Elephas maximus indicus: one gene and its partner. The protein of the gene in region 2 interacts with the protein of the main gene of each other region in a biochemical or structural test. Links are inferred from orthologs where the notes say so. Each region holds a gene or a part of one and is shown on either strand. Other genes may lie near its edges.

What was found.
Region 1: the proteins of ATR (region 2) and RPA1 form a complex in vitro, tested with the Homo sapiens proteins (2 studies listed by BioGRID, with this or other methods). The link is inferred for Elephas maximus indicus from reciprocal best matches to the Homo sapiens genes ATR and RPA1.

The regions. Positions count from the first base shown.
Region 1 is NC_064837.1:19,912,376-19,920,390, reverse strand, and holds the start of RPA1 (replication protein A 70 kDa DNA-binding subunit), read left to right. Parts: upstream 1-5,003; 5' UTR 5,004-5,129; coding exon 5,130-5,162; intron 5,163-5,644; exon of another isoform or gene 5,645-5,956; intron 5,957-8,015. Other genes in the region: SMYD4 (SET and MYND domain-containing protein 4), read right to left, coding at 3,323-3,456. UniProt on the Homo sapiens protein: As part of the heterotrimeric replication protein A complex (RPA/RP-A), binds and stabilizes single-stranded DNA intermediates that form during DNA replication or upon DNA stress.
Region 2 is NC_064841.1:17,233,370-17,240,710, reverse strand, and holds the start of ATR (serine/threonine-protein kinase ATR), read right to left. Parts: upstream 3,008-7,341; 5' UTR 2,839-3,007; coding exon 2,780-2,838; intron 1-2,779. UniProt on the Homo sapiens protein: Serine/threonine protein kinase which activates checkpoint signaling upon genotoxic stresses such as ionizing radiation (IR), ultraviolet light (UV), or DNA replication stalling, thereby acting as a DNA damage sensor.

The DNA of each region.
Region 1 (8,015 bases), on a different chromosome or scaffold from region 2:
ATGAGACTGCCTCGGGAGAGAATACTGAGGGAAAAGGAAAAAGAGCCTAGGCTGGCGTCTTGAGGAACTCCAATATTAAATGACGAGGCAAATACTCTTCTTTGATTCATATTCCTTTTCAGTGCACTGAAACTTCAATATGATTCTTGTGGATTATTACACTTTGCTGCTAGGAAGCTGTATCAATTTATCATGGAAAAACTGGTTTCATCAGCAGTTCTCCATCATTTTTGGAAACCCTGTAAAGGCAATTCACAGATCCTGTAGTGCTTTCCACTGTTTTTCAAACTGGAGGTCAGGACTCAGTGAGTCATGAAATCAATTTAGTGGGCCTGGATTAGCTTTTTTTTTTTTTAATTGAAAGAAGCAGAAAATACCAAAGTGCATCATGTTTAGTAAGCATCTAGGCCCTCTTCCTTGGTGAGCTCATCCAGTCTCATGCCTCTAAATGTCATTTACAATTCTCAAATCTGTATCTGTAGCTCAGGCCTCCTAAACTCCACTCATTTAGACATCTCAATTTCCACATATCTAAACGTAAACTCCTGATCTTCCTTCCCAAAACAGCTCCATCTGCAGCCTTTCTAGGTGATGGCAATTTTATTCTTCCACGTTTGACCCTTTAGGCTAAAGTCCCTAGAGTTATTTTTTTATTTCTCTCATTCTCTAACACATCACGTCCCATCTGTCAGGCAGAATGCCCACCTTTCATATGGGAGAACAGGGTTCAATTGCAGGCCAATGCAACCACCACCTGTCTGTGGAGGATTGTATGTTGTTATGATGATGAACAGGTTTCAGCAGAGATTCCAGACTAAGACAGACTAGAAAGAAAGGTCTGGTGATCTACTTCCAAAAATCGCTAATGAAAACCCTGTGGATCACAACAGTCCAATCTGTAACCAAGGCTACCACCCTGGTCCAAGCTACTATCTCATCTCTTACCTGGACTGATGCAGTACCTACCCAACAGGTCTCTCTGCTTCTCTCCTTCCCCCCTAGTTTATCCTCAACACAGCAGTAAGCGTAATCCTTTAAAACAGGGGTCAGTAAGTTTTTCTTAGAGGGCCAGACAGTAAATACCCTGGCCTTACAGGCCAAGAGGCAAAATCAAAGACATTATGTAGCTACAGGAGAGAAAACAAATTTCCACAATTTTTTGTTGACAAAATTAAAAACATAATAATAATTGTGTACAATGTTTTGTAATGCAGGTCTACTCATGAGAAAAAAATTTTTAATGATAACATTTTACTTAATTGGGGTTCAAGGTCAGTGTTCTCCATCATTAAATTGGTTGCAAATGTTTATGTGTAGAAACTATTCTTAGTTGGGCGATACAAAAACAGGCCAAAACCAAAAAAATCAAACCCACTGCTGTTGAGTTGATTCCGACTCATAGTGACCCTACAGGACAGAGCAGAACTGCCCCATAGAGTTTCCAAGGAGTGCCTGGCGGATCTGAACCGCCAATCTTTTGGTTAGCAGCTGTAGCACTTAACCACTGTGCCACCAGGTTCTCCCCCCCCCCAAAAAAAAGGCAGTGGGCTGGATTTAGCCTGCAGGCTGTAGGTTGCAGCCCCGTTTTAAAAAACAATCATATCACTCTTCTCTCAAAACTCTGTGCATTTGCTTTCTATTGCTTCATACAAATTGCCAAACTCAGCAGCTTGAAACAAAGCTCGTTTATTACCTCACAGGTCTATAGGTCAGAATCAAAGAAGGCTGAGCTGAATTCTCTACTTAGGGACTTACAAGGCTGAAGTCAAGGTGGGCTCTTATCTGGGAGATCAGGGGAAGAATCCAATTCCAAGCTCATTCAGACTAGTGGCAGAATCCAATTCCTTGTGGTTGTAGGTCTGAGGTCCCCAGTTCATTGCTGGCTGTCAGCCAAGGGCCACTCTGAGCTTCTGGAAGATGTTGGCGTTCCTTGCCATGCGGCCCCCTCCATCTTCAAAGCTAGCAATAGCACACTGAATCCTGCCATGCTTTGAATCTCTCTGACTTCCCCTTCTGTTAACAGTTGGGAAAAATGCTCTGCATTGAAAAGTTTCACCTGATTGGGGCAGGCATCCTCAGATAAGCTCCATATCTCAAGGTCAACTGACTTGGGACTTTAATTACATCTGCAAAATCCCTTCATTGCAGTCCCTAGATTAGTGTCAGATTGAATAACCAGGGGACAGGAATCTTGGGGGGCCATCTTTAGAATTCTGCCTACTACACCCCGCAAAAGCTTCCTACTCAGAGTAAAAAGACAAGGCCCTTACCAGGGTCTACATGATCCGTGCCATCTGCTCTCCCCCAATCCCCATGCCTGCCCCATTATATCTCTAGCCTTGTTTCCTACTACTCTCCCTCTGGCTTACTCTGTTCATCCACATTAGCCTCCCTGCTGTTCCCTCAACATGCCAGACACATTCCCAGCGTAGGGTCTTAGCTCTAGTCTCTGCCTGAGATGCTCTTCTCTTAGCTTGTTGACTCCTTTACCTCCAATCTTTGCTCAGGTTTCACTTTTTCAATAAGGCATACCCTGACCACCCTACTTAATACTACCACCTGCACTCTTGCTCCTGGCACTGCCTATTTCTCCTACCCTGTTCCACTTTTTTTTTCTTTCCCTTACTGTACCTATCACTTTTAATATATTACATACTTCGTGATGTTTATTGTCTCTCCCTCCTTGATAGAATTAAGCTCCACAACTGTTGACTATTCTGTTCGCTAATTATTCCAAGTATCTAGCACTGTACCTGGCATAACGTAGATGATTAATAGGTATTTACTGAATGAATGAAGTTTCAGGAAATTCCTATTTCTGTTTTCTACATATGTGTGTAGTAGATTGTGGTGTAAAATGTATTTCTTACTGAAGGTGCAGTCAAGAGAGTTTGAAAACTGCTGGAGTTAAACTATATGACCTATAAGGTCCTTTCCAAATTTGAGCACTTAACAAAATTTCACATGCAGCTAGTAAATCTCCACCATATCCTTTGGGAGATGGCAACGTTCACAACCTAGTGACTATAGCAAGGCACCGAGTTACTGAAATACAACACTGACACAGAGAAAGCTAAATAGTCATCCTTACCTGTTCTGTACGGTTGCTATGAGTTGGCATCGACTCGACAGCAACGGGTTTGGTTTGGGTTTTTTTTTTTTTTTTTGGTTCTATGATTGTGGGTTAGAAAAGACTGGAAACAGGAAGAATTGTTGAATGCCCCCAAAACACAAAAATCTGAAATTAAACTTTCCACAAAAAGAGATATTACTTCAGAGCAAACAAAAGAGAGCAAGTTCCAGATCACTTCTAGTCACTTACTGAAAAAGCGAAGAGCAGTGAAGGAAGACATCACTCAAAGTCCCTGCTGTAGAAATTGTGTCCCGAATGGACGTCGGGAGCAAAGCCCACTTCCTGAGTATATATGCTTTCCACTCATCCACAGGCAGATCCATGCTACTTTAGATCTGTAAAATGAGTAATAAGGAATCAGATTTCTATAAATGCACAATGCCAGACAATTAAGATTTTATTCAAGCAAAGTTAACGCAAAAAAAAAAAAGCAATTCTTTGGGTCTTTTCTATATTTGTTTATATGGATGTTTTGTTGTCTCGTGGGGCAGTGGTTAAGAGCTCAACTGCTAACCAAAAGGTTGGCAGTTTGAATCTACCAGCCGCTCCTTGGAAACCCCATTGGGCAGTTCTACTCCGTCCTGTATGGTTGCTCTGAGTCAGAATCGACTTGAAGGCAGCAGGTTTTTGTTGTCTTATAACAAATGTCTGAGGAAAGATCTATATCTTCTCACACCAACTCACTCAATAGTAACTGAAAGCCTACTACATTCCTGGTACCACGTTAGGTGATTGCTAATCCATGATGAATCAGAGTAGATAGCTACCATCACTGTCCTCTTGGAAGCTCTACCTACTTAAGTTGCTCAAGTCAGAAGTCTGGGAGCCACCAGATTTTTCTTTTTTACTCATCCCGGCAACTATTCAGTTAACAAAGATTTCTCTCCTACGGTTCAGTTTTCTCCTTCAACTCCCAGGCCATTCTTTCAGTACAGGCCTCAAGATCCCTTGCCTGACATCCTTTCCAGCATCATAACTAGTCTCCTTGCCCTCAGTTCCCCCGACTTTGAGAAAGATGTCAGTCCTCTGCCTTAAATGCATCAATGCTCTTCCTAGTACACAGGGAAGACCAGTACCAACTCTTCATTATTTGACCCTTGGCTTCCTTTCTAATTCTCAAGTGCACTTCCTTCTCTGTACTCTACCATACTGAAATACTCATAAGCTACCTCTTGTCCCCCAGTTTGCGAGGCTATTTCATCTCTCCAAAATTTTTGCAGAGTCTATTCATTCGGCCAGGTTCACCCTACTCTCACTGGGTGTTCACCTGGTAAACTCCCATACATCCTTCCAGGTTGTATTCATACGGCACCTCCTCCTGGAAGCCTTCCCTTGATCTTCCATCTATGATTGCAGTATACTTTGTGTCTGTCCGGTGCATACCTACTTTTAGTTTGGGCTACTCACGGTCGGTGGCTACTCCCCCGACAGACTGTGCTCTCCTCTGAGGGCAGGAGCTGGGTCTTATTTACCTTCAGAGGCCCCCACAGTGCCAAGCTCAAGGCCTGGCACCGGCAGGCGTTCGCACTGGGCTGGCCAAGGAACAAAGTCACTGCTTTGCCTATATTTAGCAGCAGAGTTCCCAGGGAACAGCTCTAGCTCTCCTCCGGGCTGCCAGTCTGTCTCCCCCTAAAGACAGCGCTGGGTACGCTCCCAAGAGCCCGTTCGGGAAGCTCCCGGAACTGGGCCCCTGGCGCCCTTAGCTGTTTCCGCGCAACTCTTGGCACGTCCTGCGGCTCGGCGCTCCGCCCCCACGCCCCATCGTCCCGCGACAAGACCCCGCACGCCCTTGGGCGGGTCACGTGGGCCGTCCACCTCGTCTCGGCCAGTCCGGTTGCTGCTTGGCCCCTGGGCCCGCCCCGGCGCCGCACGCACGTCGGGAGGTGGCGTGGCGCGCGCAACTCCTTGGGCCAATCGTTTTGGAGAGCGCGAGACGCCGGGGAGCGGAGTGGGGGCTGCGGAGGAGCCGGAGCGCCGGAGTTAACGCGGGGGAGCCATGGTCGGCCATCTGAGCGAGGGGGCCATTGCGGTGAGCGGCCGCCTGGCAGCCGGGCGAGCGGGACGGGGAGCTGTGGGCCCTGGAGGCAGGGAGTTTGGAGATGTGCGGAGTGGAGGAGCGGAGGGGATCTAGGGGCGGTGGGGAGAGGACTCGAGGGGAGTAGATGGCGGAGGGGAACCGCCGAGGTGTCTTTCTTGTAGGGTCCATCACTCATTCGTCGAAGGATTTTACCATCGTCTTTTAAACATGGTCACGTGTTTCGTATCTAAGAAAACAAAATAAACACCTGACTCCCCGATTTCCCTGCGCCTGCCACTGTCTCCTCCCTTTTCCCCATCTCAGCCAAACTTCTGCAAAGTTGTTTTCAGCTATTTCATTGCTTCACCTCGCATTAACTCGTTAACATGCTCCAATCGATCATCCCCCGATCGCTATAGAAATATCTCTGGCTTAAGTTACTGGTGGTCTCCACGTCGTTAAATCCAACAGATACTTTTCAGTTTTCAACTTACCTGAGTTCTCAGCAGCGTTCTCAGTCTGTCGAGCATCGCTTTCTTGTGGTTACACTCTCTTCTTTTGGCTCCTGTGGGGCAGCTTGGTTGATCTTTGTAAATTTTGTTGACTCGAGGCTCTCTTCTAGGCCATCCTCTCCCAAGGCAACCTCATAACCATCTATGTATGGCAATCATTCACACATTTCGTTGTCCCGAGCTGCCTTTATGCTGAAAACAAGCCTGTTTACCGGATATCTCAAAGGCATCTCAAATTCAACATGCCAAAAGCAAACCCGTTATCTTCCTTAGTCTGGGTCTGTCAGGGTTCTTTATTTTGGTGAATGGCACCATTGTCGGTTAAATTATGCTAGCCAGAGATTGAGAAATCATTCTTGTGACGTCCTCCATCATCCTGTATGTCCGTTTACTTCACCAAGTCCTGTATATCTTACCTCCACATGTGTTTCTTAAATTCGTTTATTTCTCTCCATACACAGTGTCATGTGTTGCCTGGATTACTCACTCCCTACTCAATACCCTCTTCCCTTCACTCCTGTCATCCCAGATTTTCACTGCTCTCTCCCCAGCCTCATGGTCTTTTTTAAGTTCCTGGTATATTCCATACTCTTGCCTTCCGCGGGACCTTCGAACATGCTTTTCCCTCTGCCTGTTGCCTGAGTGGTTCGTCACTCTCCATCTCTCTAGCTAACGTTATCTTCAAATCCCAGCTCAGCTGGGACTTCCTGAGGGAAGCCTTGTTTGACCAAATTTTGGGAACGTACTGCTTCTTCACTTACCACCTGTGTAACTTTGGGCAGGATACTAAATGTTTCTCTGCCTCCTTCCTCCTCTTAAAGTGAAGGTGATGATACCGAGTGCCTATTCCATACGTGGGAGGATTTAATGAGTTATTCCATTTAAAGTGCTTAACCCAGTGCCTGATACATAGTAAATGCTCAATACATGTGTCCTATTTTATTTATTTTGTTGTTGAGAGTATACACAACAAAACATACACCAGTTCAACAGTTTCTACATATACTATTTAGTGATGTTGATTGCATCCTTCGAGTTGTGCAACCATTCTCATCCTCCTTTTCTGATGTTACCAATTTTTTATAACCACTGATTTAATTTTACATTTGTAGGTTTATTTAATTAAGAGCAGTTACTTTTTGACTCTCCCACTGGATTGTAAATTCCATGAGGCCACTAATTATGTTTGCTTTTTTGCTCAGCATAGATAGAATTGCCAGCACTGCTTTAGCTACTGGGGATACTGTGCCCGATGTTCACTAATCACATGAATGCATTAACCAAAACCAAACCTGTTGCCGTCTAGTCAATTTAGACTCGTAGTGACCCTGTAAGACAGAATAGGTTTCACAGTGTGGCTGGCAGATTCAAACCGTCATCTTTTGGTTAGCAGCCAAGCTCTTAACCACTGTGCCACCAGGGCTCCCTCAATGCATGAGGCAGTGAAAACAAAGGGATACTGATGGATGGGGAAGAAAGGGAGCTTAGGGGAAAGCAGGAGGGGGAAGAAGGGTAGGTGGAGGCCTGTAAATACTTGCTAAAATTTGGGGATGCAGAAATGCTGAGACCTGAAAAGTGATTGCAGACTGTAGTCCTCATTCTGTCCTATAGGGTCGCAGTGAGTCGGAATTGACTTGACAGCACAGGGTCATTGGGTTAGTCCTCATTCTGACTCAACAGCACTGGGTCACTGGGTTAGTCCTCATTCACTTTGTAGTTGCTACCTTGCACCTTAAAGAAAATTATGAATGGTTCTTCACTTTTAAAAGGAATGATCATGAGATAATTTAAATTTGCTGAGTGATTTTTCCCTGTATTCAAAATTTTAGAAACATATTTCCAGTGTTGGGTAAAGTGTTACTTGAGTTTTACTCAAATGAAGGAAAAAAAAAAAGACGTTTGCATGTGTGTATGTGTCTATCCTGGCAGCGTGTGGCGTGAACTTTTGTGAACTTTGATTATGAGCTAAAACAAGTAGTATCATTTAAGTGCAAAAGACACAGGCCCAAAGGGGAAAGAAAAGAGCACACGAATAGTAGAGGCTTTTTGAGCAAAATAAAAATAAAAGATTATGCGTGGAACTGTTGTGATAAATGGAATAAATGGCATTTCTATCTTAAGTACTTGGGTTATAGAAAGAAAGGGGAAGGAACTAATATTTCTGCTTTCCAGTGTGCCAGACACTTTGCAGATAACAATCAGTACTTATATTAACCCTGTAAGGTGGGTTTTTATCATTACCCCCATTTTACAGATGAAGAAATGAAAAGTGCAGAGACATTGAATCATTTGTCTATAGAGCAGGGACCCAAATTCATGTGCCCTTGACTATCACATTCTGTTGGCATGGTTT
Region 2 (7,341 bases):
ACACAGTATGGTTAAGTACAAATACCGCCAAGAAAGAACACAAAAGGGACACTCAATCCTGATGAGGGGCCTATCTGTCAGGGCTTTCTGGAGGAGGCGAGACAAAGCTGAGTCCTTAAGGGGTCAGGCAGGTAAAATAAGGGAAAAATAAAACAAAACCCATTGCTGTGGAATCGATTCCAACTCATGGTAACCCCATCTGTTACAGAGTAGAACTGTTCCATCGGGTTTTCTTGGCTGTGATCTTTAAAGAAGTTCACCAGACCACTGGATGGGTTCGAACCGCCTTTTGGTTGGCAGGTAAGCACAAACCATTTGCATCACCCTGAAACACACAAAGGAGAAGTGGAGGGTGCTCCAAGGGGAGGAAAGAGCCATGTGCAAAGGCTCAGCAACAAGAACACGGCCTGCTCTAGGAACTCTGTTGTTGACATGTGTCATTAAGTCAATTCCGACTCACGGCAACCCTATATGACAAAGTAGAACTGCCCCATGGGGCTTCCGAGGCTGTAATCTTTACAGGAGAAGACTGCCAGGTATTTCTCCCGCAGAGTCGCTGGCTGAGTTCAAACTGCCAACCTTTCAGGTAGCAGCCAAGTGCTTAACCATTGCACCACCAGGGCTCTAGGAAGGGAAAGGACGTAACTGAGGATGAAGCTTAGAAGGTAAAATGGGGTCAAAGCTCAGAGGACCAGCTAAGGAGTTTGGATTTTGCACAGGGGGCGATGAGACATCGAAGGGTTTTAGGAAGGGGAGAGAAGATAAAACACATTTTTAAAAGGTAAATTCAATTGTTATGTCTCTGCTTAAAAAGCTTCAAAGGCTTCCTACTGCACTTACAATAAAATCTAACTCTTTAGTCTGTAAGGCACTAAATAATCTGGCCCCTGCCTGTCCTTCGATCTTCATCTTATACCACTCCCCTCTTCATTCAGTATGTTCCAGCCTTCTTTCCATTCCTTAAAACCTAGGCTCCTTCCCACCCAGATTTTTTTTTTTTCTGATACAAGGGGGAGGAGCCTGGTGGCAGAGTGGTTAAGAGCTAAGGGTTCTAACCAAAAGGTCCACAGTTCAAACCTACCAGCTGCTCCCTGGAAACCCCACAGGGCATTTCTGTCTTATAGGGTTTCTATGAGTCGGAATCGACTTGATGGCAATGAGTTTATTCCATCTCAAACACTCCTCTCCCAGGTCATCATCCAGGTGTCCTCTAGTGGCTTGTGTTGCTGCACCCAAGATCTTCATCCCCATCCCACTGGCCATTTAACACTTTAATTGCAACTATCAATCTCTAAAAATATCTTGATTGCAAAGCAATTTTAAATAGGGAAGTCAGAGAAGGCATCTCTGAAACGACATCTGAACAAAGCCAGTCAGTGTTCAGACAGAAGAAACAGGCTTGGAGGCAGGAATGACTTTGGTGTATGAGAAACAAGGTCAATGCCACTGGAACAGAATGAACAAGGCAGGGACAGAAAGCAGTGAGTTTAGAGGCAGGCTGGAGCCAGATTATGCAGGACCTTAGAGGCCTTGTAAGGAGTTTGGATTGTATTCTAAGTGTGCTAGAAAGCCAAAGGAAGGTTTTGAGCAGGGGAGGAATATTATATAATTTAGAGTATGATTTATAGTTAAAAAAAAATCACTTTGGCTGCTGAGTGGGAAATAGATTGTACACGGGCAAAAGTAGCAATGGAGAGGCCAGCTGGGAGGTTACTGTAATACTCCAGATAACAAATTATGGTGATAGCAACAAAGATGGTGAGAAGTGTCCGTTTTTAGACAATTCTATATGGGTCAGTTTTTCTACTCTTTCTCTTGAAATGGCTACAAATAAATAAAATGAAAGGTAATATAATCTCTGTTGATGAAACAGACTAAGTATAAATCCAAGATACTATTACTTTTATTAATAAATCTCATGGAGGAAAAGAGGGAAGCTAATTCTACATTACATAAAAAAGCAAGGTGGGAAAAACAGAAGGAACTTCACAATGAGCCTGAAGGAGAAAATCTGTACTTCGACTTAATAAAAAGAGCACTTTTACTTTTTTTTTTTTTTTACAAAAGTAGACGTTACTTTACAGAACGTTAATGCAAAGTATCTTTGCAACATTTGTGCAAAGTGGAAAAAATTCACACACACAAAAATAGGGTGATGCAATCGGGACAAGAACGGTGTAGGTCTCTTATCTCCTTATTTATGTAACTGAAAAAGACTAAATGTGCTTGTATGGCTGACAAGTGGAGGTAAACACGAGGAGTCCCTGGGCGGTGCAAACAACGGCTGCTAACCCAAACGTTAGAGGTTTGAGTCTACCCAGAGGCGGCTAGGAGGAAAACCGTACGGCGCACACAGGGCTCTGCTCTCACACACGGTGTAACCATGAATTCCAAAACGCTCGATAGCAACTGAGTGTGGAAAACGGACCAGGAAGTGACCCGAAGGGACCCCTCTCTCCGGCTGCAGCAGGGCACCCCCCTCACCCCGCGTCGGGGCAAGCTCCGGGCCGCGGCAGAGATGAGGTGGAGCCGGCAGACGCCTTCCTCCTCTCGGACCGGCTTCCCTCAGGCCTCCGGCTACGCTTCGGGTCTTTTCCCGGTCTCTGAGGGAGAAGCGCCCAGCTCAGCCAGCGGGCATCTCCACAGGGCCCGGGCCGGTGCTGAGGAGACCGGAGCCGGCGCGCTGCAGAGCGGGGGAGCCCCACGTGAGCCGCCGGCTGGGACCGAGGACGGGAGGGGTGGGGGACGAAGGGACTGAAGACAGCCGGCCTGGCCCTACCTGCCCAGCTCCCGCAGAGCCGGGATCATAGACGCCAGCTCCAGGCCATGTTCGCCCATGTTGAGGCGGCGCGGCCCTCGGCAAGGAGATCCACACGGACTCCCGGCGTCTGCACCGCTGCCTCTGGCGGGAATGCGGGGCCCGACGGAGTCCCGTGGAGCCCAAACCTCCTCCCGGAAGCCGCCGCTGGTCCCGCTCACCAGGCCCGACTTTCCTTTCCGCACAGGACCCGGGGGAGGCCGACGGGCGAAAGGGGCGGGGAGAGAGGCGGGGCGCGTCGGTCAGCTTTCCCGAGCGCCGCGCGGGCCGGAGGCGCGGAGCCTTGACTGTGAGGGGAAGACTCTGCTGCTCGCAGCCGGGGAGGCTCAGAAACCAAGACCGCGGGATCTGGGGAGAAGGAGGCTTGGCAGGGAACTGCCCAGACGCCCTGGCTGCATAAACGCGAGAACTGAGAACACTGAATGACTGAGAACCAAGACTAGAGGCCAGGTCTCCCCAGGGCGTGACTCCCTCCCCGACCTACGAACCTGCCTTCAGGTTTTCGTTGTTCCTTTTACCACCACACTCTTGGCATCCTTTCTGAGAGAATCCAAGCAAGAGGTGGGTTCCTCCCTATCCAGGGGAGGATTATCCAATAAGCAGGGTAAGCACGGGCTTACTTGTGTTTACTTACTAATCTGTAATGAACAATTTCATATGGGTTTCTGTGAAGTTGTTCACTACAGAATAGGAAGTAAGCACAAGTAAGCCCGTGCTTATCTTGCTTACTGGGTCATCTGTCTGTGTCAGGGATCGTAAATTTGAAAAGAGGGTTTGATTGTATCAGAAGGTGCTGTGGGGTTGGGAGAGAGATGCCAGCCATACCTAGAAGCAGGATCTTTGATGTGATGAAGGAATGTGAAATTGCTCACTACAGATGATCTGGTAAGCAAGGTGAGCACCATGCTTGCCTTGCCTATTGGATAATCCGCCCCTGTCCATATCCTTTCTATTTCAGCAATATTTTCTCCTTGGAAGACACTCTTATGTTTCCTTGAGGATCCCCCCAGTCTTTAACATTTAAAAATGAGATTGGGTTGTTTTTGTATGCCTCATCAAGTCAGCAGCAATACTCCGTATGTTTATGTCACTTATGGGCATCTACTACCTGTGATTTAATTTTTAAAGTAAATCAATAGATTTTGTCTCTAGACATAGTCTAGCTCAACCCAATTTGTTTACTTGAAAAATGGCCATTATAAGAGACTACTGACGTGTCAAAAATACATATTTAACCAGGTAAAGCCATGCAGTGTGCTTACATTTGCTTTTTTGTTTTTTATTTTGCATATGAAATAATTGCTGATACAGTATCAAAAAAAACCCTCCAAAGTTTAGAATGACAACCAAACATGCTCCTGATTTAGGGCCTTTTCATTTGCTGTGTGCTCTGCCTTGACCTTGAATGCCTGTCCCTATTTGTCCCCTTCCTCCAGGTGTCCCCAAAGAGCCCCTCCTTATATAGACCAACACGTATACACTCACACGCTCTGTTCCCCTCATCCTACCTTATTTTCCTTCATAGCACTTAGAACCATACTATTTGATTAATCATCTCCTCCACTTAGAATTTAAGCTCCTGGAGAGCAATGTCTTGTCTGTTTTGTTCACTGCTAGATTCTAGGTTGAAATGCAGTGCCTGGCACGTAGTTGATCTTCTCTAAGTATTTGTTGAATTAATTGTTGAGTGGTATAGTGGAAAAAACAACATGGGATTGCAAATTAGTGACCCTGTACAAGTCCTCATTCCATCTTCTAGAAACCATGATCTCAGAAAGTTTCATAACCTCTCCATACTTCAGATTTGTTCATGTATAAAATGGGATTAATATCTACTGCAAAAGATTGCAGTAAAGATTAAGAGGTAGTAGAGTCATTTTTTTTTTTTTAGAGTCATATAGTGGAATACCATTTCATAGTTTAAATGAATGAAGGGTACGATACATACCAAATGGATGAATCCTCAAAGCAATATCGAGTGCGGAAAAAAAGCAAATTGCAAAAGGATACATAACAAAGAATTTCTACAACTCAACAACAAAAAGGCAACCCACTTAAAAAATGGGCAAAGGACTTGACGTTTCGCCAAAGAAGTGGCCAACAAGCACATGAAAAGATGCTCAAAGTCATAAGAGAGATAAATAAAATCAAAACCACGATGAGATACCCCTTCACCCCCCACTAGAATGGGCATTATTAGAGAAAAGGAAAACAACAAGTGTTGGCGAGAATGTGGAGAAATTGAAACCCTCATCCATTGCTGGTGGAATTGTACAATGCTGCAGCTGCTGAGGAAAACAGTATGGTGGTTCCTAAAAAACTTAGAACTACCTTATGACCCAGTGTTATGGGCTGAATTGTATCCCCCCAAAATATGTGTTATAAATCCTAACCTCTATGCCTGTGGTTATAATCCCATTTGGGAATGGGTTATCTTTGTCACGTTACTGAGGCAGGATTAGTGTAGCACGTGTTTTGTGTCAGTGTCTCACAAGGTATTAAAAGGAGCAAGTTAAGCAAGCAGATATGGGGGAAGATAGATGGCAAGCCACGTGGAGATCGCCAAGGAACCAGGAAACAAGCTGGAGAGACAAGGACCTTCCCCCAGAGCTTAGGGAGAGAAAGCCTCCCCTAGAGCTGGCTCCCCAAATTTGGACTTCAAGCCTCTTAAATTGTGAGAAAAGAAATTTCTGTTTGTTAAACCCATCCACTTGTGGTAATTCTATTATAGCGGTAATTTTTTTTTTACATAACTAAGACACCCAGCAATTTGGTATATATACAAAAGAATTAAAGGCATGAATGTAAACAGATAGTTGTATGCCAGTGTTCATGTTCATGAAAACCCTGGTGGCTTAGTGGTTAAGTGCTACAGCTGCTAACCAAAGGGTCAGCAGTTCGAATCTGCCAGGCGCTCCTTGGAAACTCTGTGGGGCAGTACTACTTTGTCCTATAGGGTTGCTATGAGTCGGAATCGACCCGACAGCACTGGGTTTTGTTTTGGTTTGGGTTCATGTTCATTGCAGCATTATTAACGATAGCCAAAAGGTATTAACAACCCAAGTGTCCATCAACAGATGAATGGATAATAAAATATAATATATCCGTACAGCTGAATATTATGCAGCCACAAAGAGAAATGAAATTCTGAAACGTGCAACAACCTGGATGAACCTTGTAAACATTATGCTGAGTGAAATAAATCAGACACAAAAGAGCAAATATTGTTTAATCCCACTTACATGAAATAGGAGAGTTCTGGCAGTGCAGTGGTTAAGAGCTTGCCTGCTAACCAAAAGGTTGGCAGTTCAAATCCACCAGCCACTGCTTGGAAACCATATGGGGCAGTTCTGCTTTGTCCTATAGGGTCACAATGAATCAGAGTTGACTAGATGGCAAAGGTTTGGTTTTTTTGTATATGAAATAGGTAAGTGCATACAGACCAAAATTTATTAATTCTTACCAGGGGCGGGTGAGAGGGGGAAATGGTAGGCATTGCTTAGGGGGTACTGAGTTTCTGCTAAGGGTGATGAAAAAAATTGGAAACAGTAGTGATGGTTGTGAAACATGGAATGTAATGTCACTGAATTGTACACATAAAAATGGTTGAAATGATTTGTGATATATGTATATATGTATAGTTCACCACACTAAAAATATTTTAAAAGAATACATAACGGCATTATATAATTTCTGTATACTTTTGAAACCACAAAATAATACTTTGTTATGTTCGCATACATATAGGATAAAACTACAAAAACATGGTTGGGAAGCTTATACATCAACTCCCAAAAAACCCACTGCCATTGAGTCGGTTTTGACTCATAGTGACCCTATAGGACAGAGTAGAACTGCCCCATAGAGTTTCTAAGGAGCGCCTGGTGGATTCGAACTGCTGACCTTTTGGTTAGCAGCCATAGCACTTAACCACTGTGCCACCAGGGTTTCCACATCAACTCCAGGGTAATGGAAATTCTGGGGAGGGAGAGAAGGGAAAGAAATGAATAAGAGTTTTCTCTTAATAGAATGTCTGAAGTGATCACGACAAATTTAACATTTGTTACATCTGGGTGATGGTATATTATCATCTGTATGGTTAGCATATCTCAAAAAATGTATAAAAAATAAATACATTTTTTTAAAGCTTAAGATAGATAATGTGAAAAACATTGTCAACTAAGAAGGAACAGATATTAGCTATTATTTTTAAATCGTGTGAAGAAAGAGTACAAAAATTACAGTGCTGTCTAGAAGGTAATTGCTGAATAGTGTTGTAACAGAGGCTCAGTAATCCATTTAATTTAAAAAGTACATTTTGTGTAAGGTATTGTACTAAGTACTTCTGTGACACAAAAATGAAGATAAAGTCAGTCTGAAGTGATATGTACTCTGTGGGTATAGAAAGGATGTATCGAGAACTCAAAAGCAAAGCAAAACCTGATGGATACCATAAGAGAGATATAAACAGCAGGCACTAGAAAAATAGAGGAAGCGATTCTATCTACTCAGCTAGAGAGAGG